Linked DNA regions of Caenorhabditis elegans. The protein of the gene in region 1 interacts with the protein of each later gene in a pairwise test. Each region holds a gene or a part of one and is shown on either strand. Other genes may lie near its edges. The genes, in order: lin-48, moe-3, dro-1 and unc-62.

The links.
Region 2: the proteins of lin-48 (region 1) and moe-3 interact in a two-hybrid assay, tested with the Caenorhabditis elegans proteins (one large-scale study listed by BioGRID).
Region 3: the proteins of lin-48 (region 1) and dro-1 interact in a two-hybrid assay, tested with the Caenorhabditis elegans proteins (one large-scale study listed by BioGRID).
Region 4: the proteins of lin-48 (region 1) and unc-62 interact in a two-hybrid assay, tested with the Caenorhabditis elegans proteins (one large-scale study listed by BioGRID).

The regions. Positions count from the first base shown.
Region 1 is NC_003281.10:3,742,711-3,748,355, reverse strand, and holds lin-48 (Transcription factor ovo-like homolog lin-48), read right to left. Parts: upstream 2,919-5,645; 5' UTR 2,896-2,918; coding exon 2,824-2,895; intron 2,776-2,823; coding exon 2,695-2,775; intron 2,518-2,694; coding exon 2,434-2,517; intron 2,384-2,433; coding exon 2,068-2,383; intron 1,676-2,067; coding exon 1,551-1,675; intron 1,229-1,550; coding exon 1,064-1,228; 3' UTR 784-1,063; downstream 1-783. Other genes in the region: arcp-1 (ANK_REP_REGION domain-containing protein), read left to right, coding at 1-75, 663-758. UniProt on the Caenorhabditis elegans protein: Transcription factor. Involved in development of the hindgut, the male tail, and the excretory duct cell. Involved in modulating function of excretory duct cells. Plays a role in left/right patterning of cell fates in the hindgut.
Region 2 is NC_003280.10:13,159,606-13,168,304, forward strand, and holds moe-3 (CCCH-type zinc finger protein moe-3), read right to left. Parts: upstream 6,129-8,699; 5' UTR 6,051-6,128; coding exon 6,034-6,050; intron 4,617-6,033; coding exon 4,395-4,616; intron 3,853-4,394; coding exon 3,745-3,852; intron 3,420-3,744; coding exon 3,276-3,419; intron 3,008-3,275; coding exon 2,860-3,007; intron 2,578-2,859; coding exon 2,388-2,577; intron 2,318-2,387; coding exon 2,168-2,317; intron 1,190-2,167; coding exon 1,065-1,189; 3' UTR 810-1,064; downstream 1-809. Other genes in the region: F32A11.1 (Mitochondrial import inner membrane translocase subunit Tim21), read left to right, coding at 311-490. UniProt on the Caenorhabditis elegans protein: Zinc-finger protein that may play a role in oocyte maturation and fertility.
Region 3 is NC_003281.10:13,340,762-13,345,005, reverse strand, and holds dro-1 (Protein Dr1), read right to left. Parts: upstream 2,323-4,244; coding exon 1,906-2,322; intron 1,824-1,905; coding exon 1,686-1,823; 3' UTR 1,399-1,685; coding exon of another isoform or gene 1,344-1,398; 3' UTR 1,294-1,343; downstream 1-1,293. Other genes in the region: acaa-2 (3-ketoacyl-CoA thiolase, mitochondrial), read right to left, coding at 35-47; ife-1 (eIF-4F 25 kDa subunit), read right to left, coding at 496-670, 717-1,182, 1,344-1,398; nud-1 (Nuclear migration protein nudC), read right to left, coding at 2,467-3,325, 3,373-3,476.
Region 4 is NC_003283.11:4,495,224-4,501,193, reverse strand, and holds the start of unc-62 (Homeobox protein unc-62), read right to left. Parts: upstream 3,732-5,970; 5' UTR 3,728-3,731; coding exon 3,605-3,727; intron 1,865-3,604; exon of another isoform or gene 1,399-1,864; coding exon of another isoform or gene 1,387-1,398; intron 1-1,386. UniProt on the Caenorhabditis elegans protein: Acts redundantly with ceh-20 and ceh-40 to perform overlapping roles during embryogenesis.

The DNA.
Region 1 (5,645 bases):
GATTTGCCAACGTCGGAGAATGGAGTATATCTCGCAAGGACGGTGGCGCCTGTTTTGACTAAAGCGCTGGCAGAGGTAGGTATTGTAAAATTAGTAGCGGCTGACGTTTCGCGGGCTGGACCCGTGTTTCGTAGTTGTGTCGGCCATAGCAGCCGACGATTTAGAGGTGACCCGGGATATGTCGGCCGCTTTCACGTTCTTTGCCAGTACGAATGACACTTTTCAAAGCAGCCGACTCCTCACGGATCAGCCATTAGGTGTTCAGCATAACCGGCCGACGTCGGGCGCTTCTATTTTTATGGCCGCCAGTAAATTTTAAGTCAGCACTCATGTACAGCAGCCGACTCTTCATGGGTTAGGGCTAGGATTTGAAGCAGGGAGATGTCGGCCGCTTTCTTTTTTATTGACAGCAAAATTTCAAAACATCTTAGTATAACTGCCGGCACCTCACTAGCGGGAAATAAGGATTAGGGTTATAACAAAACCATGAGATGTCGACTACTCGAGAAACTGACAAATTTTAAGTGCCAACTAGAAAACGTGTTTGGCAGCCGACATCATAAGGCTTTAGTAAAGCGGCCGACACTTCGCGCGCACGCTTCAGAGATTATGCTGAACCCGTTAAATGTCCGCTGCAATTTTAAGCATTTATTTTTTTTCAGGTTCTACTTCGCCGTCCTGCCGACCCTATTGGATTTATTGCCGAGTGGCTCTCAAAATACGTCGTAGAAATTCCACGTCACAATGGAAGTCATTGATTTCAACACATTTTTTAAGAATAAAAAAAGGAGAAACTTTTTTATTTCAATAAAATGTGTCATTTTTTGGGAAAATTTGTTGTCATTGGTATAAGTTAAATACATCATGGAATCATCTAGAAGACAGAAATGGGTGAAAAGGGTCTTGGACGGAGAGAAAATAGTGTCATTGGGGTTAATAAATCAGTCACGGGGGTGCAAAAAGGATCACCAACAAATGGGGAAATGACGATGATTTGGAGGATTTTTGGAAAATAGCTAATTTCTAAAAAAAATTAAAAATTAAATAGGAAAAAAGGTGAGTATTATAGGGAGATCTTGGAAAGTTGTTCGGGTTTCATCGATGAGTTCTTTTTCTGAAGCTGTGTAAACCGAAGGTAGGCGGCCGAGAAGGGGTGTACTACCTTGATGTGAGATAGATAGACTTCGAACTTTTCGTCCGTATAACCACAATCTTCACAGACGAATACCTGGAAATGTAGAAGTTATTGTCGGTCGGTGTGTGCCTAGATGCCTAGATGCCTAGATGCCTACATGCCTACATGCCTACATGCCTACATGCCTACATGCCTACATGCCTACATGCCTACATGCCTACATGCCTACATGCCTACATGCCTACATGCCTACATGCCTACGTACCTTCATGCCTACATGCCTACATGTCTACATGCCTACATGTCTACATGCCTACATGCCTATTTTCTATTTCTATTTTGTCTATTGTTTGAGTCTACTTTGAGAGTAGGCACGCAGGCGTAGGCAGACATGCATACCTTTCTGTCAACTCACCTTACTACGACGCTCTTTGTAGGCATATTGATGAGTGACACCGTGAACTTTCCGTAAATGGGATTCCAAGGAGCATCGTTGAGTGAACGACTTCTCGCATTGCTCACATTTGTAGGGACGGACGCCTGGAATACAGAAGGTCATAGGTAGATAGGCACGCCTGCCTTTGTCTGCTTATTTTTGAATTTATTATTAAACAATTTTCTATTCAAATAACTTTTTAGAAATACATTAAAATGAGCAGAACGTGTTGTCGGTTTCAATTTTAATGTGGTCCCCTTGATTTTCCACCGTAAATCAAGTTAGAATCGTCGACAATTTGCGGTGAAAATGTGTGGAATATTACGCTTCGCTACAATGGATTCAATGACACCCCACAAAAAAGCAGTGTGCTAGACAAACAGACGCAGACAATTGTCTTCCAACCGTAAGTCAACGGAGGGTAAGAAGAACGACAAATTAGTGGTTATGAATTGGTGGCAGAGGTAGAGGAGTACTTTAAAGTGTTGAGAGGTACCTGTATGTGTTCTGGTATGCCTTTTTAAGTCGAATGTATCGTTGAAACCCTTTCCACAAAATGTGCATAGATACCGTTTCAGGTCACTATGACACTTTATGTGACGGTTCAGAAGACGTTGTAAACCGAACTTTTTGCCGCAAATGTGACAGGTTAATGAATCTTGGAACTCGTCTTTGCTGGAGGAGATGAGGGATGAAGGAGATACTGTTGAACACGGAATTGAGGTGGTTTCGAAGGAGCTGATCAACGGAGCCAGGGGGTTTTTGACTCCGTAGCCTCCGTTTACAAACTCCACTGCTGGATTTATAATTGGCTGAAAATCAGAAAAAAAAAATTTAGAATTTTCCTTGATTAGCGTCTTACACTGGGTATGGCTGCCTTGGGTGATGGCGAAAGAATCGATGCTGGTGGTGAAGGATCATCATCGAGAAATCGTTCAATGAGAAACTGAAAATGTTCCTTTCATCGTAGATAAGTATTGTGCCTGCCAATGTGTCTATCTAGGCTACGCGGTTCAAAACGAAAAAGATAATTTCAGGCGGTTTCAGAACAAAAAATATTAGATAAAAATTTCAAGATGGCCGAGATTTCTAATTTTCTAGGCCACCAACTTTCCATTCCTACCTTTTTCGAATTCTTCTCTTCGGGTTTGCTGCTATTGGTGCTACTTCTCGAAATTGATGTATTATTATTATTTGCAATCATCTGAATTCACACTTTCAAGTTTTTTTTTTGAAATCAAGACTCAAATACCTGAGTAATAACACTAATGTCTCGAGGCAGCAAATGCGCTCCAATCAGCGGCAGCCATACCCGTGAATCCATCTGAAATTGAGCAGAGCTGAAAATTTTTGTGATGATTTTGTGGAATTTTTTCCAAACAAGGAACAACAAGCGGAAGCGTCCGAGTCGGGGCGGGGTGTGTTATCACCGAAGAAATCCAATCCGGCAATTATTTCAAATACTCGGCGCCAGATAATAATAGGTACAATGTCTCGGATGTCGGGAATAATTGGAATATGGAGGTGTTGGCTCCGAGAGCACAAAATCACGGTAGGGAGAGGATAATCATGAAACCGAAAGTGAAATTTAGGATTTTTCTGGGATGGTTTAGGGGAGAGGTACACAAAACTATTGAGCGTTCCCACAAGCCGAAGCCTAGGCTTAAGCCAAAGCTTATGCCTAAGCTGAAGCCTACGCTGGAAGACTGAGCCTAAAGCAAAGCCTGAGCCTAAGCCCTAGCTTGAGCCTAATCTTAAGCCTAAGCTTAAGTCTAAGCCTAGACCTAAACCACAAAAAAAAGTTGGGTAATTTTCACGAAACTCTCCCAAAACCATTTTTAGTTCAACAATAAAAAAAATCCGAAAAAAATATTTTGTATTTTTTTAAATATTTTTTTGTGTTTTTTGTGCATATAGTTTTGAAAAAGTTGCATTTATAACAGGAAATTTCAGTAAGACAGAAAAATCTTCAGTTTTTGGCTGGAAAACTGAAATATCTGAGAGAAAAATTACCTAATCGAATTGTTTCAAAATTTGAGCTAGAAACATAGATAAATATTTGGTTCACTTGAAAAACTATTTTTATTTTTGTTGAAAATTTTTAAAAATCCCCCAAAATAATTTCTGCAAATTGCCAGAAAATATAAAAATGATGCAAGAAGGGACATGAAACTTCTTCTTACATGTAGATATATTAATATAATTGTAAGGATATATGACACAAGTATATTAGGCAACTAGTAGACGGTTACAGTTCCCCCTTCTTCCCTTTTGTGTGTTGGTGAAACGGATGAGCACTTGGCGCACTTGAGAAGCGGTTTCTAGAGAGAAGAAGAAGAAGCATCAATTGGAAAGAGAGGAACAACAAAACAATTGTGTATGGCACCAGAAGAAGAAACAGTTGCCCAATGCCAAGATGGGGGAACGTTTAGCAACGGATGAGCTTGTGGCGATTAGAAGGCAGGTTGGCCGTGACTACAAGAGGATTACGGTAGGCAGACATGAAGACCGTTTTGAAAAAGGAAGAGAGGGGGATTATTGCGTAATCGTTCAGGGAAGGGGTTTCGAAGTTTTCTTCTTTTTCTGCTTTTTTTTTGAGAACGAACTTTCAAAAAAAAAAACTGAAAAAAAAAGAAAACAAGTTCCAAAGGCGCGTTTTCCTGTCTACATGCCTACATGCCTACAAGCCGCCGCCTAGCGCCTTCTTCTTGTTGGAATGAACTTTGGCATTATGTATCTGAGCAGGCAAGGTAGGCAATAGGCACGTATTCAGGCACAAGGCAGGCGAAGGTTGTCTTAGATGCAGGCAGGTATTACTGTGCCGAAGTGGTTTTTTCTTGGAATTTAGATGATACTCTGAAACTTTCGATGAACTCAAAAATGTGGCTATCATATTTTTGCGAGAAAAACTAAATTAAGTTACAGTAAATCTTAAAATTCTTATTTTTAATGAGTGGCCTAGTTTTCTCAATCTTTTTGTGATTTTTCTCCTAAAATTACGGCCATGGGTCCTGGCACGAGCGAAAAAAAAACTTTCCAACTACCGTACTCTCTTTTACCGGCAATTAAAAATTTCCAAATTTAATATAAAGTTCAAAAAACTGAATTCAAATACCAGCGATATATCAAATTAATTAACAAGTAACGGGAGAAAAGTGTCATAAAAGTCGTTTTTGATATCTATCAGGAAAAAAGTGATAAGGGTGAGATAATAGTGGCGGCTGAGAACGCAAGAACTTTTTTCATTGATAAGAACACAGATATCAATTTAATGAAAAATCGCATTGAGGTCCCGCAACAAACCCCAAATTTGGGTCTCGTCGCGAAAATAAATTTACTTATTTTTTTGCGATAAGACTCATCTCATTTTCGTAGTTCGTAGAAATAACTGAAATTGTTCAATTCTCCAAAACAAAATAAAACACAACAATGAAGATGCAACCAGTTGTATACCGGTGAGGAAGGGGTACGGTATCACATAAACCCGCGTCGCTTCAGTCGGTCCGCAATATCAGCGGTATAGGACCTCCCCTTGTGTTTGTATATTTGATTTTGAGAGAGGAGACGGAACGATTACCTTTTTCCTCTTCTTTTTTTTGCATTCTACCGTATCAGGGCGTCACGCTGTCTGCGTCTATATCATCACAAAAGAGGTGTTGAAACTGTGGGATCTTCTGAAGACAACGATGACGGCGCGCGCGCGCACGGTGCATTTATGAAGCGTGACGGTAAGGAAGAGATGAGAAGACGGAGGGACACGTTTTTGAATCACTGGTTGATCAGCCAGTTTGGCGAGAGGAATTGGCAAGGTCGGGATGGAATGAGTTTTCAGGGTGATACAGCACACCTCCAAATACGGAGAAATGTAGTTTTGAACGAGTAAGTACTTTTTAGACAATGTGCACATTACGTATTCTTTGGGCACAACTCTAGTCGTTCATCTCGCCGTCATTCGCCCAATTTGGAACGCCACCGAACTATAGTTAAAAAATAAAAGTAAAAGGAAATGTCTATTTTAAAAAAATCTCTCCAATTTTACAAGATCGGCTTCATGCCTACATGCCGCTTTTCTAA
Region 2 (8,699 bases), on another chromosome or scaffold:
ATTATTTTTAATTAAAAAACTCAAATATAACAAGAAAAAACATTAGGAGTTGACAAATCGTGGAAAAAACTATAAAAAGTCGATAAAAATTCTGCAACATTGAAATATTGAAACTACAGTACACTTTGAAGCGGCACACCTTTCCTCCGCGCTTCAAGAAAATATTTCGTGTCGAGACCGGATACCGTAATATTTTGCGCAGAAATAGCAGAATTTATAGCCCTAAATAATACTATTTCTTCAAAACCTTAAATTCGCACAAATTTCTGGATAAATTTTTGAATTCAAAAACAAAACAGTTTTTATTCAGGTTCTGCTCTACAACGTGACAAAAGACGTGATTCTCTACGGAGTGAAGTTGACTCAACAGACCTATTACGTAGTCTTGGCGATTGCTGCTCACATGCAAAATGGCTATCGACGATTCGCGTCAGGAGTGGACCGGCTCACGGACAAGTACAACAAGGTCCGCCAACGGATCGGAAAGTGAGCAGCTGTGCGGAGCATCTCGATCGAAAATACTCACTTATTCCTTCAAATTTTTTTTTTGCAAAAAGTCCCCGTTCAATTGTACATTTGCCTGTTTCAGAATTGTTCACACGACTTTCTAGATGCCTTTTCTTTTTGATTTTCGTAGTCAGTATGCATCAATTTCGTTTTTCCCGTCTCTTTTTTGCTCCATATTCCGGTTTTATTCCGTTTCTCCCTCCCAAAAAAAAAGAAAAGAACCAACCTCATCCAAAATTTTTAGAGAAAGAAGCTTAGGATTTTGCGCTTTTTGCAACGTGTATTATCCCTTGTGTGAAATAAAATTAAAACTTTATTTAGGGGGAGCAATAAAAATAATTAATATTAGGAGATAAAAAATTTTCAAAAAAAGAAGCGAAAAAAATATTAGTGAGATGTGTATCAGGTGGTCCCATTTTTATTATAAATTTAAAAATCTTTAAAAAAAAGGATTTAGGACCACTTGCTACTCAAATATTATTAGTAACTAATCGTTGAACAATACTCACAGACAAGGAAGACAAACAAATTTCAAATTAAAAAAAAACTGAAAAATGTCACCACAATTCAAGATGTTTAGCCATATCCTCTGCAAGATGGTCGAATCCTGGAATTGATGACATATTATCATCGTCTTGTTGGAAATTGGAAGGCACTGGAGGAAAGGCTGCTCTCCGTTTTGCTGAAAATTCGGAATTTTTTAATTTTAAATTGAAATTTGTGTTTTTTCCACGAAAAAAAAAACCATTATTGATCTTTCAAATTTGCGAGTGAAATATGACGCTTTGTGTCGGTGTTTGCACAGTATTCGGATTCTGTGGTTCACTGCACCTAGTACCTCGTATTTGACGCGCAAGTTTGAGAAATTCAAGCTCACAAGTTTTTTCAAGAAAAATTACAAATTTCACACAAAAATGGGGGAATAATTTATTACGGGAACACAGAATTCGGAGAATGCGTATTGCACAACATATTTGACGCGCAAAATATCTCGCAGCGAAAACTACAGTAATCCTTTAAATGACTACTGTAGCGCTCGATTTTCGAAATGAATTTCTTTTCAAAAATCTAGAGCCCTGCACAGCCTCCTGGAAATGACCCAACAAGGGGGCTTGCGCGTTTCTCGTGAGCGTGGGAAAATTTTACCGTTGAAAAGTGATTTCCTTCAGTTTTCACGGGTTTAAAATCGATTTCAAACTTTTTAATTACGTATCAATTGTAAAGCTAATTAAGGGCAAGGTGGAAAAAAAAAGATTTTTGATTTTGGTTCAAAAATAAAAGCGCTGATATAAAAAGAAAAAACCGCTAAAAATTGAGTTTTTCTCATATTTCGTATATTTTTCATCATTTTTCTAGTGGAATTTGATGTTCATTTGAAAAGTAATCTTCCACCAAAGCTTATGTTATGAAAAATATGAAGAAAAACAGTAAATTGAACGTTTTCGGAAATTTCTCAATTTTGCACGCGATGCACGAGAAGTGCGCCAACAAACCAAAATTTCCACTGGAGGAGACTGTGCCCTGTAAATCGACACAAGCGCTGCAGTAGTCATTTAGAGAATTACTGTAGTTTTCGCTACGAGATACTTTGCGCGTCAAATATGTTGCGCAATACGCATTCTCAGAATTTTGTGTTCCCGTAATATCCCATAAATCTAACCTGTCACAAAATGTGGTTGAATTCCCGTGGAGCCGTTGGGAAATGGCGTCTCAAATGGGCTCATCAAATTATTATTATTGATTGAAGACATTTCGGGTGGCAAGAAAAAGGACGAAGATTCCAACGGCCAGCTAGGGTGAGGACGCGTGGCTGAAAAAAAAATTTCAAGGAATTTATTGAAACTTGTTTTTTTTCTAAAAAATTATTTTAAAAAACTCACTTTCACAATTCATCTGAGCCATTGGAGAACGCATATGACTGGAGTCAGAACTCGATTTCATCGGTGAAGATTGCATTTCTAGACCGCCCATCGGTGGCGGCTGTTGATTATACGAGTTTCTCGTATTTCCTGTCATAATCTGTGATTCCACGTGATCCCGTAAATCTGCGAGTGCGTGGCGCTGCGAGACCTGAAAATTGGAGTTTTTGAATAATTACAGGAATTTGCGATTTTTGCGGCATAGGTACGGTACTTGGTCTCGACGCGAAATATTTTTGTTGGTGAAGCAAATATACAATAAGGTGTGCGCCTTTAAAGAATAGTGTAGTTTCAAAATCTAGTAAAAATTGTCGTGTCGAGACCGGGTACCGCAATTTTGGGCAAAAAATCCAAAATTTCTAGTCTAGATAATACATTTTAGTTTCAAAAGATAGCCGACTTGAATTTTCTAGGCCACCTCTCCATCACTAACCTCATAAAGCTTATCAGCTCTGATATATGCATTTGGCTGATTATCGGGATGAATAAAAAGACACCGTTTGCCATAGGGGCATAGTCCAGTGGTAGTGTACTTGTCACAAAGTTTCGTCTTGTACTTGTTGTTTTGTCGTGATTCCAGTCTGAAAATATTCAGGGTTTTTGCGCGTCAAATTTCAGGCAAAGCGGCAAATTGCAGGAGTTGAAATTTCCGGCAAATCGGTAAACTGCCGGAATTGAAATTTCCGGCAAATCGGCAAATTGCCGGAATAGAAATTCCGGCAAATCGATAAAATTCCGGAATTGAATTTTTCCGAAAATCGGCAAATTGCCGGAATTGAAATTTCCGGCAAATCGGCAAATTGTCCACCCCTGCGCCAAAAGTTATGCGCAAAAATTTTGAAAACTCACTTCGCCGGGCGCAGCTCTTCCTCTCCATGTGCAAATCGGCAATTTTCAGCAAAAGTGCATGTTTTCGACTCGAGCCATGCCTGACAAATGACCGTCTTGTAAGATTCGGGCTTTTGCATCCGCCGTTCGCCGCGAGGGGGGCGTCTGGAAAATGTAATTATTAGGAGAAACTCTAAAAATGGTTTTTTTTTGTGGAAATTTTCCACTACTTTGACACCTTACATCTTAGTTATTTTAAGCGCTATGAAAGCATTTTCAACTACAAAAATATTTATCACATTATCAGCTACATTAGTGCAGTTAAAAACTTTTTGATATCACAAAAAATAGTTTAGATACATGCGTTGAAACTTGGTACGTTATCTTTGAATTTTTTCAATGGTTTTTGATTTGGTTTTTTCACATTTTTTCCAAATCAAAAAGATTTTGAATTTCTTTTGGTTTAACAATTTGAATAATTAAAACTCACTGTGGAAACCCGTGATGTGGTGATATCGAATTCGCTACAAATGGCTGATCGACTGGATTTGAGGAGTATCTGAGTGCTCGCATCTGGTTCGTCTGGATTTGCTTGTTTCTGAAAAACAGTGTTTGGTGTTTAGGTTTCAAACATAGCTTCTTGCCCAAATTTGGCACAAAAAAGTTAACTTGGGCAACAGTTGGGCAAGACATTTAGGCCCAAAGTTTAACCGAAATTTGGCCCAATTCTGCTTTCGGCAATTTCGGCAACTGCCAAATTTGCCGATTGCAGAAAACTCCCGAAACCGGCAATCGTCAGAATTGCCGGTTTTCGGAAATCAGAACTGCCGGACCTTAAACATGCACTTTAATGAACTTTTTTTTTTTCAAGCTCAAAGTAATGTAATTTTTGAACCGGCTATTGTCAAAATTGCCAATTGCCGAAAATATCCAAAACCTGCAGTTTCCGATTGCCGAGAATTTCTAAAACTGGCAAATGCAGAAATTGCCAATATTGCCGATAATTTCTAAAACCGGCAATTGCACAGAATTGCCAAATGCCGAAAATTTCCAAAACCGGCAATTGCCGAAATTCCAAGTTAATTTTTTCGGGCAAAACTTGCGCAAGAAACTGGAGCCAAGCAACAAAATAAAACTAACTCTGCAATTTCCTTTCTCAATTGCTCATTCACCGCAATCAGGTTAGCAGTTTCAAAAAGCAACGAGTTCAACTGAGTAGTAGGACTCGGTGGCCCACTCTGCGATGATGATCCTTGACTATGACTAGGTGATGAAGCATGAACTCCCGATGAGAATACACCACTGTCAGCTGAACCAGTTGACATGGACGATGGTGGACGCTTGTCAGACTTTTCGAGATCTCTGGAAAATAAATAAGTTGTGGGTATGAAATAATCCAAAAAAGTTGGGATGGGGAGGGGAGGAAGTATCATTATTGCCAGTTTTTGGCGTTGTCACTGTTCTGTCCACTATATCTCGGCTGATAAAACCGTTCGAGTGATAACGAACAGGATATTTATTTATCTCTTCTGTTCACAAATAGTGCACTTAATCTCACTAGTTAGACTTATCAAGCTTTTTCAAAATTACAGCTTTAGCTGTAAAAAATGTGACACGTAAAATATAGTGCATCAATAATTTCAATTAAACCTTTTAACAAATTGCACAAAAACTGATTTAATATCAATTATGAAAATTTTATTTAAAATTTTGCTTTGACTTTTAAAATTAAAAATTTCTAAAAATTGCACATTTTCAAATTGCTCCAGCTTACACTTTTGAAGGGAATTTTTTGTGGTAATAAAATTATTAATTAGATATACATATTCTTGACAAGAATATATAGCCATGTCACAATGGAACACCAACTGAATAAGTTATGAACTTTTTTAAAACTTTTTTTTAATAAATGGAGGTTTCAACTAAACTTTTAAGGAAGCTTTAATATATATTTTAAAGTGTTTTCAGCAAGGATAATATTCAGAACAAATATTTTTGAAAGCTTTACGCGTTTGGAATTAAACAAAAAAAAACAAAGTCAAATTTTCTGTGTAGGCACAAAATCATACACTTTTTAATCAAGTTTTTAAGCATTTTTTTAGAACTTCAGATTTTCTGTCCCTATGCACTATGCATATAGGCATGTAGGCACAAAAAACCTACGTGCCTACTTCCCTACCTATTAACTAGACAAATTCTTCATCTATTTCTTATGTTTTCATATTTCTTTAATAATTAGTCGATATATATGTACAGAGGCGGCCAATTGCCGTTCGGCAATTTTTTTGTCGGCACATTTTTTTTGACGGAGATTTTCAATTCCGGTAATTTGCCGGTTTGTCGCTTGCCGGATATCAGATTTGCCGAAAATGTTTAAAGGGATTTTTTTATAAGACGAAAACACTTAAAACCTTGATTTTTTGATGCGTGCAATTTTGTCTATTAAAATTGAAATTCCGAAATTTCCAACAAAAAAACCGTGCAAAACCACAATTTGCCGGAAATTTTCGACAATTGCCGATTTGCCGGAATTTTTCATTTCCGGCAGAAATGTTTATTATTTCCGCGATTTTCTTTAGATATTTTCATAGAATTTGCTTACTTTTTAAAATAGTCGTAGTATTTTGCCGATTAAAATTTAAATTCTAAAATTTCCAAAAAGCTTTCAAAGCCGTTTTTCCGGCAAATTCGGCAAATTCAGCAATTCGCCGGTTTGCCGATTTGCCGGAAATTTGTATTTTAGCCTCGAAAATTCTAAAAGTATCGTCAAAAATCTCACCCTTTCACCTTGCTCATCGTGCGCCTTCCCTGACTTGATTAAATATGTAAAAAATCTGAAAAACGGGATGAATGTGTCGCGGTCAGCCAATACCCCTGAAAACTGTGAAATTCGTGAAAAACACGGCGGGCACAAAAATTTCAGGGTCAGTTGCGGATAAACGAGAATGAGAGAACAGTGAAAATGAGAGAAGATTAAACATAACTATGACACACAAAATATTTGATATTTGAAGAGGTTATGTACTTAGAGGGGAAGTTGAAATGAACTGAAATTTGAAAGTAAAAAACACGGTCTGAAAATAAGGCGAGAGATCGAGAGACGCAGAGAAGCGAAGAACCGGTCTCGAGAAATGACAATTCATGTGATGGTGATAAGAACAAAAAAGAATTGTGAGCAGTCTATTACACAAGATACGAGGGGTTCGACATGGACTTAACAGCTGATTTTTATTCATGTGTCCGCTAGTTCGGAGGGGGCATGTGATTGCGATCAGTTGATTGGAGATCATTGGATCAGGGGGTATATCAGTTAAAAGTAATAGAACAGGGAGAAACATGATTTTAAAATCCAGTATTTTCAAAATTCTGCGATGCTCCCTACAAAAACCCCAGTTGAAAGAACTTTAAGATGTTTAGGAGCCCTATAAAATATAAAATTACCCAGTTGCGGAGTTTTCTGCTTTTTGACACAAAAATAAATGCGATAGAATCAGGGCTGGGCGGCAATTGCGGTTCGGCAAATTGATTTGTCGACAAATTCGACAAATCGGCAAATTGCCGGTTTGCCGATTTACCGGAAATTTTCATTTTCGGCAAATTGCCGATTTGCCGTTTGCCGGATATCAGATTTGCCGGAAATGTCTAGAGGGATTATTTACAGGACGTAAACACTTAAAACTGTGCCATTTTGAATTTTTCCCGTTTTTTCTAGTTATTTTAACAGAATTTGCTTACTTATTGAAATAAATGTAGGAATATTCATAGGATGTGCTTAATTCGGCTGTCTGAAATTGAAGTTCTGAAATTTCCAAAAAAAAAAGGGCAAAAAATTTTTGGCAAATTCTGCAAATCGTCAATTTGCCGGTTTGCCGGAAATTTCCAATTTCGGCAATTTGCCGGTTTGCCGATTTGCCGGATCGTTTGCTGCCCACCCCTGGTACGGATTACGAAACAACTTGAAATTTGCAGTTACCGCACCTACAAGTGATTCGAAATTGTCTTGCCTGTTTTTGACACTATTTAAAACTCAGAAGCTTCAATTTTTTGGAAAATTTTGCAAACACATAAAATATCGAATAATTGTTCAAAATACATATCAGAATACTTGCGGGTACTGTGGCTGTGGTCGTGTAAAATATGCATTGTCTCTACAAAAATTTTTTGATGTTTTTGTGTCCAAAAATTCTAAAAAATGAGCTAGCGTGGCATTTTCTCCCAATATTTGTCATTAAAATTGAAAAAAAAATACATATAACTATATTTGCTTTGTCAGACATTAACTTGTATTTTAAATATTTAAAACAACTGAATCCAGATTGAAAACATGCACCAAAATTGTCGGTAAGTTGAAAATTGTCGGAATAAAATTCGACGAACATTTTTGAGAATTTTCAGTTTCTCCAAATCAAGTGAAAACTATATTTTTGCCTACCTCAAACCTACGCCTTATAAGACACAAGTTTTGAAGGTTTTGATCCAAACTAAAAACTATGGATCAGCTGTTCCTGAGCTCAAATTTGAAGCTAGAGCCTAAAAAGACACAATTGATTTGCAATGTAGGAACGCTTGGCACAAATTTAAATATTAGATGAAGCTCAGAAAAATGTGATTCTAAATTGTTAAGGGAAAATGAAGAAGCCAAACTGGAAGATTAGGCAATCGAAGGGGAAATGATTGAGAGAAAACTTGGAAGGGCGGGTAAGAACGGGCAGTTTGGAACTGCTTTTCTATTCCGATTGCGTAACAAATGGAACAGAAAAAGACAGAGAAAGAAAGAGAGAGAGGTAACATGTTTGCTGAGTGACCGAAAACGAAAGGATTCAGAGATGAAGACGCTAGCGAAAGGTGTGAGTGTAACATGCGTTTCCATTTCTTTCAGAAATCCACTGTAATGAGTGAAAAGATGGTGATGCGCAAAAGTGAGTATTAGAGGGGCAAGCGAAAAGATATACACACACACACGCATTATAAAAAGTGAAAAATTAAAGCAAAAAGGGCAAAAAAGGAGGCCCGTGTGGAACCGGACTAAATGAAAAGGTTTTGCCGAAAGAAGAAGAAGCAATGCCAGACTATTGCATCAATGCGATTAGGATCAATTGGCAATACAACAAACACGAAACGGCATCGACTTGCCCCTCTCTGGATCAAGATGGAGAAGATGCGAATGAAAAAAAAGAGAAGTGATGGCATGAATATGTAACGCTTTTTTTAAATTGGTTCAAAAAATTGTCCGTTTTTGGAACTTGGAAGGGAGTGCTGGCATGGCAGATTTTCAGCTTTCGATTTATTTTTTTTTTAATTTCTCAGTCGGCATGATTTCTAGTGAGTTCCAGAAAATTCGGGTAGCAACAAAAAAATTTATTTAAAAGTTTTTTGACCAAGTATAACATTTTTTATCAAATTTTGTTGTTTTTTTCCGCCAATATACATATGATGCATTCAACG
Region 3 (4,244 bases), 9.6 Mb from region 1:
AGTACAACGACCATGGACTTTGACCCCCACTCACATTTTCCTGCCATTTTGCAGTGTATTTGTGTGGTTCTGTAAATAAAAACGTTCTTATAAGTAGTAACAAATTATTAGGAAGAGGTGAAAAAACCTAAAAAAAAGGGCATTTAGAAAACTGCATAATTATTTTGAGAGGGGCTTTTGAACAAAAATAAAGTTTTTCGGTTGTTTGTTGGGCCGATAAGATAGGTAGAGAAGAGACGCAGAGACGAAAAAGAAGCAGAATGGCCGACTTTCGCGGTGTCTTTTTTATCATCATTCCCGCTACTTGTTCTCTGACCTAAAGGCTACATTCTACACTACAATAAGATACAAAATTGGGCCTGGAAACCACAAGGCAATATAATACAATTAATTTTCATCAATTTTATTAAACCAATCACAAAACAACGAGTGAAATACTAGCCAAGCAACGGGTGTAATTAAAAAACAAGTAGAGCAGATACAAAATGGTCTGCTTTAGACGGCGGATTTCTCGGCGACTGGAGCATCGGACGAGTGCAATGAAAGCTTGGCTTTCACAACCGAGCTGGTCTTCTTCTGGCAGCTCTCATGATCTTCGTAGCGGATCACATCGAACAGTGGCTTTGAGTGGTCCTTGGATGCGGCCATCAGCTTCTCCTTCAGCACAACTCTGAAATTCCAAAATTCAAGATAGAATTAAAAATAGACATGCATACCCAATCCTCATGTTGGTTTCATCATCGTTGCAATCCTTAGTCCAGACGCTGATCTTCGATCCTTTTCCTCTGACGTTGCACACCAACCCACAAATCGACTCCATGTCCTTTCCGAATTGCTCGCCGACCAAAGCCATGAGAATCTCCAGCCAAATAGCATCGACCATTTCGGGAGTCTTTCCCTTGTCAATGACGATGAGCCAGCGTCCTCCGTTCGAGTTTTCCGGAACCTCCCACATCGGCTGAATATCGTCACGGAAAACGTTGTAATCGCACAACGCGTTGAGGCCACTTGGTGGACGGATAGCATCGTAGAGAGCCCAGAACTCCGAGACGGTGTTGAAGGTGTACACCTTCTTCAGACGATCCTCCCAAGACTTGTTGCGCTCATCGTTCAAATACCACCACGTCCAGTTACGCTTCAGCGGATAAATGGGTGCCGTCGTTTGCTCCGTTTCAGTCATACCTGGAAGAACTCGATTAGTAAAATCAGTAAACAGAGAGAATAAATGAATGCAAATAAAAATGGGCACGTGGAACCAAAAAAGTGATGCAAAACGGCGAGAAACAGTTTTTTTGTGAATAATTTATAGTACTCAAACGATAATGAAAAAGGGAATGGCTCACCTTCTTTCTCCCCAGAGATTTTCAGCTTCTCAAATGCTATTTCAGAATCTGACATTTGCGCTTAAAATTTTCGCACCTCGACAACTGGCAAGGCAAAAACAGGACTGATCTGAGAAGCCGAGAACAACTGGGGAAAACGCCAACTAATCGTGCCCTAAATGACGTGCCATTGAAATATGGAGCGGGTCAGTAAAAAAATTCACGGGGAAAATAGGAAATGGTGGAATATAGTACAACAATTTTAAAAAGAGATTTAGAAATTATCGATGATGAATCAAGGTAAATACACAAATGAAGAAATAAAATGAGAACCCGTAGAAAAAAAAAGCGAAGAAAAACAATCTAGTTGTCGTAGTCATCGTCGGTTGGAGCCAAAGAGCCCTCTGATGGTCCTCCAAACATTTGTGCGTTTGCGGCTGCTACCGCCGCGGCTTGTGCTTGTTGGTGAGCAAGCTGCTGCTCAATTTCTTGTTGGCGTGCCTGTAAAATAAATATTAACATTGAGGAAATGAGTGTTTGTTTTATAAAAACAAAATTATTTTTGAAAACCTCAAAAAATTACCTTCTGAATTAATTCTTGTTGCATTTCGTACAATTTTTCCTCTGGAATACCACATTTTTCAAGACGAGAGTTCTTCCTTCGCAGCTTCTTCTCGGCTTCAACCTTGCAGGCATCGAGAACACTGTCGGCGGCCTCGAGATAATCTGGTGTGAATCCTAAATTCTGCAGTGCCTTCTGAACATGTTCGTGATATATTGTTTTTCTCTGATCCTGGCTCGCAATTCGTTGTGCTTCTCTCGCAATATGCTTCACGAACTCAACGCAGCAAGCATTGATCATATCTCTCGACTCGTTGGCGATTCGCATTTCAGGAACAACTTCTTTGATAATTTGGTTGATACCTTTCTGTGGAAGTCCGATTTCATTGTCCTCATCCATATCTGTGAAGAGTCTGAAAATTGTGTTGAAGCACTGCATTTTTAAGGGATCTAAAAGAGATATAAGGAATGAGAAATACATTATTAAAAGTTTAAAGATGAAATAAAATTAATATCAAACTGAGTACATTTATGCGAATATAAATATAATATTTTCGGAACAAATCTCACAAAATTCACAGAATTATCCAATTTTAGCATTGCTGAAGTCCATTTCAGGATGCTGTTTCATGAACTGTTGCAGCATATCATGCTTTTTCTTCTCATCAGACGTTGGAAGACCCATCTCCTTCTGCCTCTGATCATACATCATCTTTTCGACCATGGCACGTGTCTCTCCATCCAAGTCGCTCAATTTCGAGTTCTCTGGCTTCACTTCCTTAGTATTGATTGGAGGATCGGAATCAAGGAATCGATTCCACCATTCCATATCATTGATCTTCTCGAGAGTTAGGACAATCGCTTTCCCGTTTTCGATTACCCAGTTGCAATTTTCTACTTTAATGGCGTGAGGCAACTTTCCATCGACAATCGGAGCTTGATTCTTCAGGCCGACAGATACTGAAGTCTTCTCTATTTTGACGACAACGTCACGAGATTTGATAGCAAATCCAGCAGCAATTGGAATCTTCACCTCGAGTTCTTGGAGTGTTTGAGTCCATTGATATTTGGCAAGATCCGCACCATTTCCACTATTTGGTTTCATGAGCTTACTGTCCTCATCTTCGACTTCAGCGTCTTTCGATGTTTCTCCTTCGTTATCGACGAATTTTTCAAGATTTTCAACAGAATTTTTAGCCTGTTCCTTTTCAAACGCGGCCGCTTCCTCATCAGTGACTTCCACGACTTTCGCATTTCGGAACTCTTCCTCTTCCTTAGCTTTTTGTGCAGCTCTTCGTTCAGCAAGCTTCCTCTCCTGCTCTTCCTTCCGTTTCTTGGCTTCTTCAGCTTCCTTCATAGCCTTTCCACCGTGTTTATCGAATTTTTCGAGGAGAAGGGTCCGGGCTTGATCGACACCAGCGCCACTGTAGAAATCCGTCTTTCTGAAACAAAACATGTATTTATTAAGCACTTTGAAAAAATTTCTTACCTCGAAAGAAATTCAAATAGTACATCAAGCATTTCAGGCACTCCGCCGCTCAGCTGTTGGGCCATGGAGAGCAGCACCGAGTCGAATCGCTCATATTGAGACATTTTCTGAAATTTAAATATATTAATTAATAAAAACTACTTCCAAAACGAAGAAAAACATTAGGAAATCCGGAATTATTGAAAATAGAGCCTAAAATCAAGAAACATAGTTATTTCGCAATAATTACAGGACAAATTCTACTTAATCTAGTTAAAAACTTATTTTACAAACTAGAAAACCATTTATTTTGACAAATATCACTAGAAAAATTGAGTTATTTCGAAATTTCTGGTAAATCCTATTTTCGCCATGTTCCCATGGATACTGCAAGTGCCTGGGGAAAGCAGGTGGCTCATAATGCTCAATTATATTTCTGGGACAATGAGAATAGTTGAAAAATCAAAGAAAATCTGTGCGAAATCCCGCAAAATCGATAAATTAGGAGAGAAAATGTGTAAAATTGAAAATAAATTGCGAGCGCCGTTTTTTCTAGGCGCCTTGGCGCGGCGACTGGCGCAACTCTCGTGCTGACGCGAAACTCGATGCTACAGTAGTTTGATTTGAAATTTAAAAATTCAAATTTGAATTCAAAGTAATTTTCAGAAAAAAAAAGCAATAAGTTACCTAGTGCATTACTATTTCTCCCGTTAAAGAGAAAAACGGGTCTAATTGAAGAACAGATGGTGCTAATCAAAGAGAAAAATGCACACGCTTAGAAATTGGATTTTTCGAGACCTTTTCCATTTTGAAACTTTCTATTGATAATAAATCCAACTTAAATATTGATTAAGTTCACTTTTCCATTTACAAATTATTCCAAAAAAGACAGA
Region 4 (5,970 bases), on another chromosome or scaffold:
TAATTTTATTAAAAGGCGCCTAAATATGTGAGGGATTTATGGGTAAAATCTTATCTCTTCTTCTGACATGGCTAGCAAAAATTTTGCAAAAAAAAAATCAATAATTTTAGTTTTCCTCCAAAATCTTTTTTTTTTCGAAATTTCGGTACAAAGGGGCGCCGTTCCAGATTTCGGCAAGATGATAGGCGGATTTTTTGACGAAATAAATCTTCTCGGCCCCCCGATTCGGGTAAAAGAAGATGTGAACGGGGATAACGGTGGAAGGATAAAGTGAGAAATTGAAACCACGCTTTCCTATTTTTTTTTCTTTTTTCTTTTTTCTGTGTCTTGTCTCTCAAATTGATTAATTGATAAATTGTATTGATAACTAAAGAGGCCAATTTTTTGACACTTTTTGGAACCATTGGTGGTGGTGGTCATAGGCATTTTTTCTAAGCAGTAGCCCAAGCTCATCAAAATCATTTTAATGGGTTTTATTAGTCAGCGGGGAAGACGGGGAAAAGGGGTGGAATTTGGGACATTTTCTTATCTTTTTTCAAATGATTCCCGAGAAAAAGTGATACTGTCGGTAAGATCGTAAAACTATTTGTGATTCTTGTGTTGGCTTCGGAAACTAAAACTAAAACTAATCGATGCAAGGAAAAATTTAAGAATGAGGGGCTTAATATAAGTACTTATATTTTGAAATATTCACTGGTGTTATTTTAACGATTTGCAAAAGTCGATAGTATTCCACCTCACTACCTCACTTTGAAAAGTTATATCACGGTTCAATTAGAAGATATAAATAAATAGTCAACTACAAAATTATAGAAAAAGAAATAATACGGATTTTGCCAGTTGACAATTTTTATATAGGATGAACGAAAACTGAGATATAAGCTGTCAAAGTTGGACGATGGGGTGCAACTGTTAGTCTTGCAGACCGTAGCTTCAATTTGGCAGCTCATTGTAATTTTCAGTTAAAACAAAAAGTTCTAAGCTGACAAAATATTTGTTTTTTCTAGAACTATAGTTTTAAAGTATTATATTCACTGATTTTCTAGAGATGAGCAGAGATACGACTTTTCGAGGTATTTGGGGTCAAGTTTTTCTATATTCTGAAGCTTGGGAAACTATATTGTAACTAACCAGCGCTTAAAACAAGGCGAACACCTAAAAATTGCAATTTTGAGATCTAGAAAGCGGGAAAAAAGCGACAGCGACGGCGCGGTGGGGGGCGCAATGGCTGATTGGAAACCCAAGAATGAGCTCGAGCCACCACCCAACACAACGATAAATTATAGAGGAGAAAAGGAAAAAGGGATGGCGCTCTTTCTGGTATCATGTCAAAGTCAGAAGAAGCAGAGGGGAAACGGAATGAAGGAGAAGAAGAAGAAGAAGTACCCTCTGCGCCATCGTCGTTGCCGACACACGGGGCCTTGCTGAATAAGATGAACGATGGTCGTGTCGGGATCGAAAACTCTTTCCACAACGGGGTGTCAGTCAGTCAGTCTGTCACACACACGATGATGGTCAGAGCTTGTCGCCCGCCCCTTCTTCTTCTTCTCTCGTTGATCGATTGATTAGTGTGCCGATTTGATGGGCCGGCGGTGGCGGCGTGTGTTCTTCTCTGCCCTGCGTGTGATGTCGATGATGATGGAACGAACGTAAATAATATGACAGACAGATGAATATCGAAAATGACAACTTCTCACACACTTCAAAACGGTTGTATGTCAATCTTGTCCGATCGTTGGGGGGAGGGTTGGTGGGGTGAATGTGGGCGGGGCTCCCTCTCTCTGACTCTCCCTGGTGGGGGAAAAATACGAGAAACCACCGAAAGAGAGAGAAACGGGCAACCGGGGGGCAGATCGACTCGCTTGCCTTCTCCTCTCTCTCTCAGTCTATTTTCCCCTGTTAGCCCCCCTCGAGAGAAGGAGTGAGTGAGAGAGAGAGCGATGCGCCGGGGCCCCGCCCTATTGCGCCAATAGGCACTCAATTCGGTACAGTAGACCCCGGGTGTGAGAGGAGGGTGAGAAGGCAAATTTGGAGAGGAGTAGAAGAAGTCAAACACGAAGAAAACGACGACGACGACGACGACGAAAAAATACATGCATTGCATTTTCCTCTTTTTTTTGTTTTAGCGAGACGAGGCAAAAAGTCAAGTGTGGGGGACCTCAGGTTTTCCAGCTAACACAAATTTACATTTTCTACCAAGTAGTACCCGATTCTTGGCAGCCAAATTCCATGTCGCCTATCAATTTTCCAATTTTCCACCCTCGATAAGAAACACATGATTAATGTGATTAAAAGAGATAAATCGGTCGGTGGGGGGGGGGGGGGGGGGGGGGGGAGCGATGATGAGACGAAGAAGAATGAGGAGAGAAAAGATAAAAGCGGCGGACAATTTGTGTGAAAATTATCAGGATTTTGTTATTGCTTTTATGCTGTTGATATTGATAATCGGATCATCGGCTGTTAAATTGCATATTATATCGTGGATGTGTGGAACTAGCTCTATGAACTTTAACTGGTAGGTTGTAAACCCAAAAAATATGTTCTTAGATTTTTATGGTAGTTGTTGAAGGTGGAGTAGCGCCAATGGGGAAATTGTTAAAAACCACTCCTATGGTCCCAAAATGACCGAATATCGTAATAAAACATCATCAAACAAACACATCAAACAAAAACATCAAAACAATCAAAAATTTTCTTAAATTTTTTTATTTGCGGTCAAAAAGTGACAATTACTCAGTTTTTGTTACTCATAATTTTGGAAGTCGACCAAAAAAAGTTTTTTCCTACATTTTTTACACTTTAAGCTTATTTTAATTATTCGTGTTGAAACATTGTAGGGGGCGAAACATGCGACATTGCTTTGGATTTCCTCGAAAGCTCATATTTTTCAAAAATTTGGCAATTTGGCAAAAGTTTGAACGGAAATTATGAAAAAGCTAAAATTTTGTGGGGTGTTTTATTATAATATTCGGTCGTTTTGGATCATTATAAGTGTATTTAGACAAAATTCCCACTGGCGCTATTCCACCTTTAATATACTTTTTTCATAATAAATTCTGAATTTTTAGTGGATTTCCGAATTTGAAATTTGTTTTCCTATGTCAAATGAAAAAAAATCTGTTGAATTTAGCTCCTGTGGCGAGACCAACTCAGAAAAAAAAACAATGTGTGCCTTTAATGTGATGTTTCAAATTTTTGCGAAATATTACAATATTTTTTCCCGGTTTCTTGAAATTTATATTTCAATGAAAAACCAATTTCGAAACTCTAAAATTTTTACAATTTTGATTTTATAGATTTTATCAATTTTCTGAAAGCATTTTATCGTAACAGAACTGAAAAATTACAGTTCATTTTGAACATTTTTTTCATTTTTTTTTCCGAAATTCCAAAAGTTTTGAAGTTTCAGACAATACAAAACCCTTCAAAGCTCGATTTATAAAATTATTTTTAATTCTAAAAATTGATTTTTGAATTTCTTAAACTACAATGTGAAGATCCTAAAGAATTTTTTAATCGGCAAAAATTTTTTCAATTTTCAGAAATCAATTTAATTAGGAAATTTAGTCGCAAATTAAAACAACAACCAATTCTTAAATTTTACCTCATTGTGATCCCGCTTCTCTCGTTTGATGCTCGACGTGTCCAAATCGTACGTCGAAATTCCATTTTGAACAGCCCAAGTGTCAGCGGACGCGTGAGCCCACACTTTTGAGTCGCCGCTCATGTTCCTGCAAGAGAGAAATATTAAATTTTGAAAAAGAAAACGTGAAACTCATTATCATTTATCAAAAGAGTCTGTGCGTGAGCAACAGCAGATGGGTCCTCGTGGCCCGAAAGCACAAAAAGCACACCAAAAAAAAAGGGATGGATTCGAAAAAAAAAATAATAAATAGGCTCCGCAAGAGATGAACCAGGAGGGCAAATTCAAGTTTACATGCTGCTGTCCTGTGTCCAATGTCCTCCGCATTGAAGATAAATTGCTTTTGTTCGTTTTTGCCCCCACTAGGTGCACAAAGCTGTTCTCATTATATTTTTGAAATTCGAACAAAAAAAATGTAAGTGCTAAGGAAAAATAAAGTGGAAAGAATGAAGATTGGAACTAGTTTCTTTTTATTTGATAAGGTTTATGTAATGTACGGTATGAGACTGAAAAAAAAGTTTCATTATACCGCCAGTTTCACCGGAAGTTTTTTGTCATGTGAATGAGCATGAGCTGAGGAAATGTGACTAGTTTGGAAATTAAAAAAAAATCTAAAAGTGAGTTCGGTTTCTGAAAGAAATTTGCTCCACCGAAAATGTGAGAAACTATTTTGACGGCCTATATCTCTGTTGCTTTTGATTGGATCAAAAAATGTTTAACTGGTAAAATATAGAAAAACATTTTGCGCATATTTTGTCAGTTAAAATTTTTCTGATAAAATCAAAGAGAGCTGAGATAGAAGCTGTTAAAGTGGAGCAAGACGGGTGCAAGCCTACTAAGGAAATTGCGGACAATGTCCTAATTTTTCAAATTCATTATCAGGAATCAAAAAAGCTCTACCAAACCTAGTCAGCTATTTCCAAGTTTCCACAAAAAATTAATTAATTAAACAAGATCCTTCTGAAACTACACTTTCCAGATTGTCAACTAAATGTGCACCTATGAATGTAATAAAATATCGCAACCTTTCGCCTCTTCCAGAGAGCACAGTCATTTTTTGACACATTTTCCTTATCAATAATCAGAGAGTAGAGACATAGAGATGCTAACATTAAAATACAAAAGTTTCAACATTTTTTCCCTTCAATGCACCACATCCCCCGTTTCCCTCATCTACTTATACTCCAGCTGCACTTTATTAACGTCGCCTTTTGTTCTAAGGGGATTAAGATTAGGATCATATGGAAGAGGAGGGGTAGGAGGTGTCAAGTGGGATAAAGTTTCAGACTGTTTTTCTTTGTTTGGTAACATGGTAGACACGGGAAGAAGATTAACCTATAGATTTCAGATTTCCTGGAAGGTAGCGTGTGGTGCTTTTGTTGCTTGAATTGACAGAATTGAGTTGTTTCAAAAATTCTAGAGTAATAGGCTCAGCTCAAAAGATTAATCAAAGGCCTAAATTAAAGGCCAAAATTATGAGGCTAACAAATTTTTAAACCAATTTTTTACAAGCTTTCCATTTTCAATATAGCTACTGTTTCTATGCAAAAGAGCTACTGCTCTATCCGCCTTGCCTCTTTTTGCTCCACTTTGACGGCTTATAACTCGATCCCATTAGGGCTTGTAAAAAAAATTTTCAACTGACAAAATTTGTGCAAATATTTTTCTACATTTTTACAGTAAAACATTTTTTAATAAGACTAAGGACAACTTAGATATAAGTCTCTAAAATAGAGTGAATAAAAAAAAGCTAATTTAGAGGCTAACAAAATTTGATTCATTTGTACATAGTTTTGCCATTTTGTTTCCCAATCTGATCTACTTTTTCTTCTCCATAGTCATACTCAAAAACCTAGGCAGATCTTTGCTCAACGAGGCTGACGTATAAACTGATAAGCTTACGGTGTGCTCTTTGCTACGTGCGCCGAACATTATTCGAAAAAAAAAGTTATCAGTGGTTTTTTCTTCCACGCATCGTATCGCAATCGATGCTCTTGCTCCCCTGCTCTTCGCTTCTATTTCGATTCTCTCGCCTGGCTCCCCAAATACCGTACCAGGGGATGTGTATGCCTACTACAGTAACCCGTGTGTCCACCACCATCACAACCACCGACCAGCCGGCCCGGTGTTGGTGGGGGGGGGGGGGGGGACACGAAACAAAATTTGAAAAACGGGCGGCCCGCGCGCACGCTCTTTTTCCCTCTCCTTTTAAATCGATACGTTTCGTCGTCGGTGGTGGTGGTGGTGGTGGTAGTGAGGGACGGAGGCAAAAAAAGGAAGGAGAATTGCGTGGACTTGCACCGGACAAGTCATACAAATGATTGATG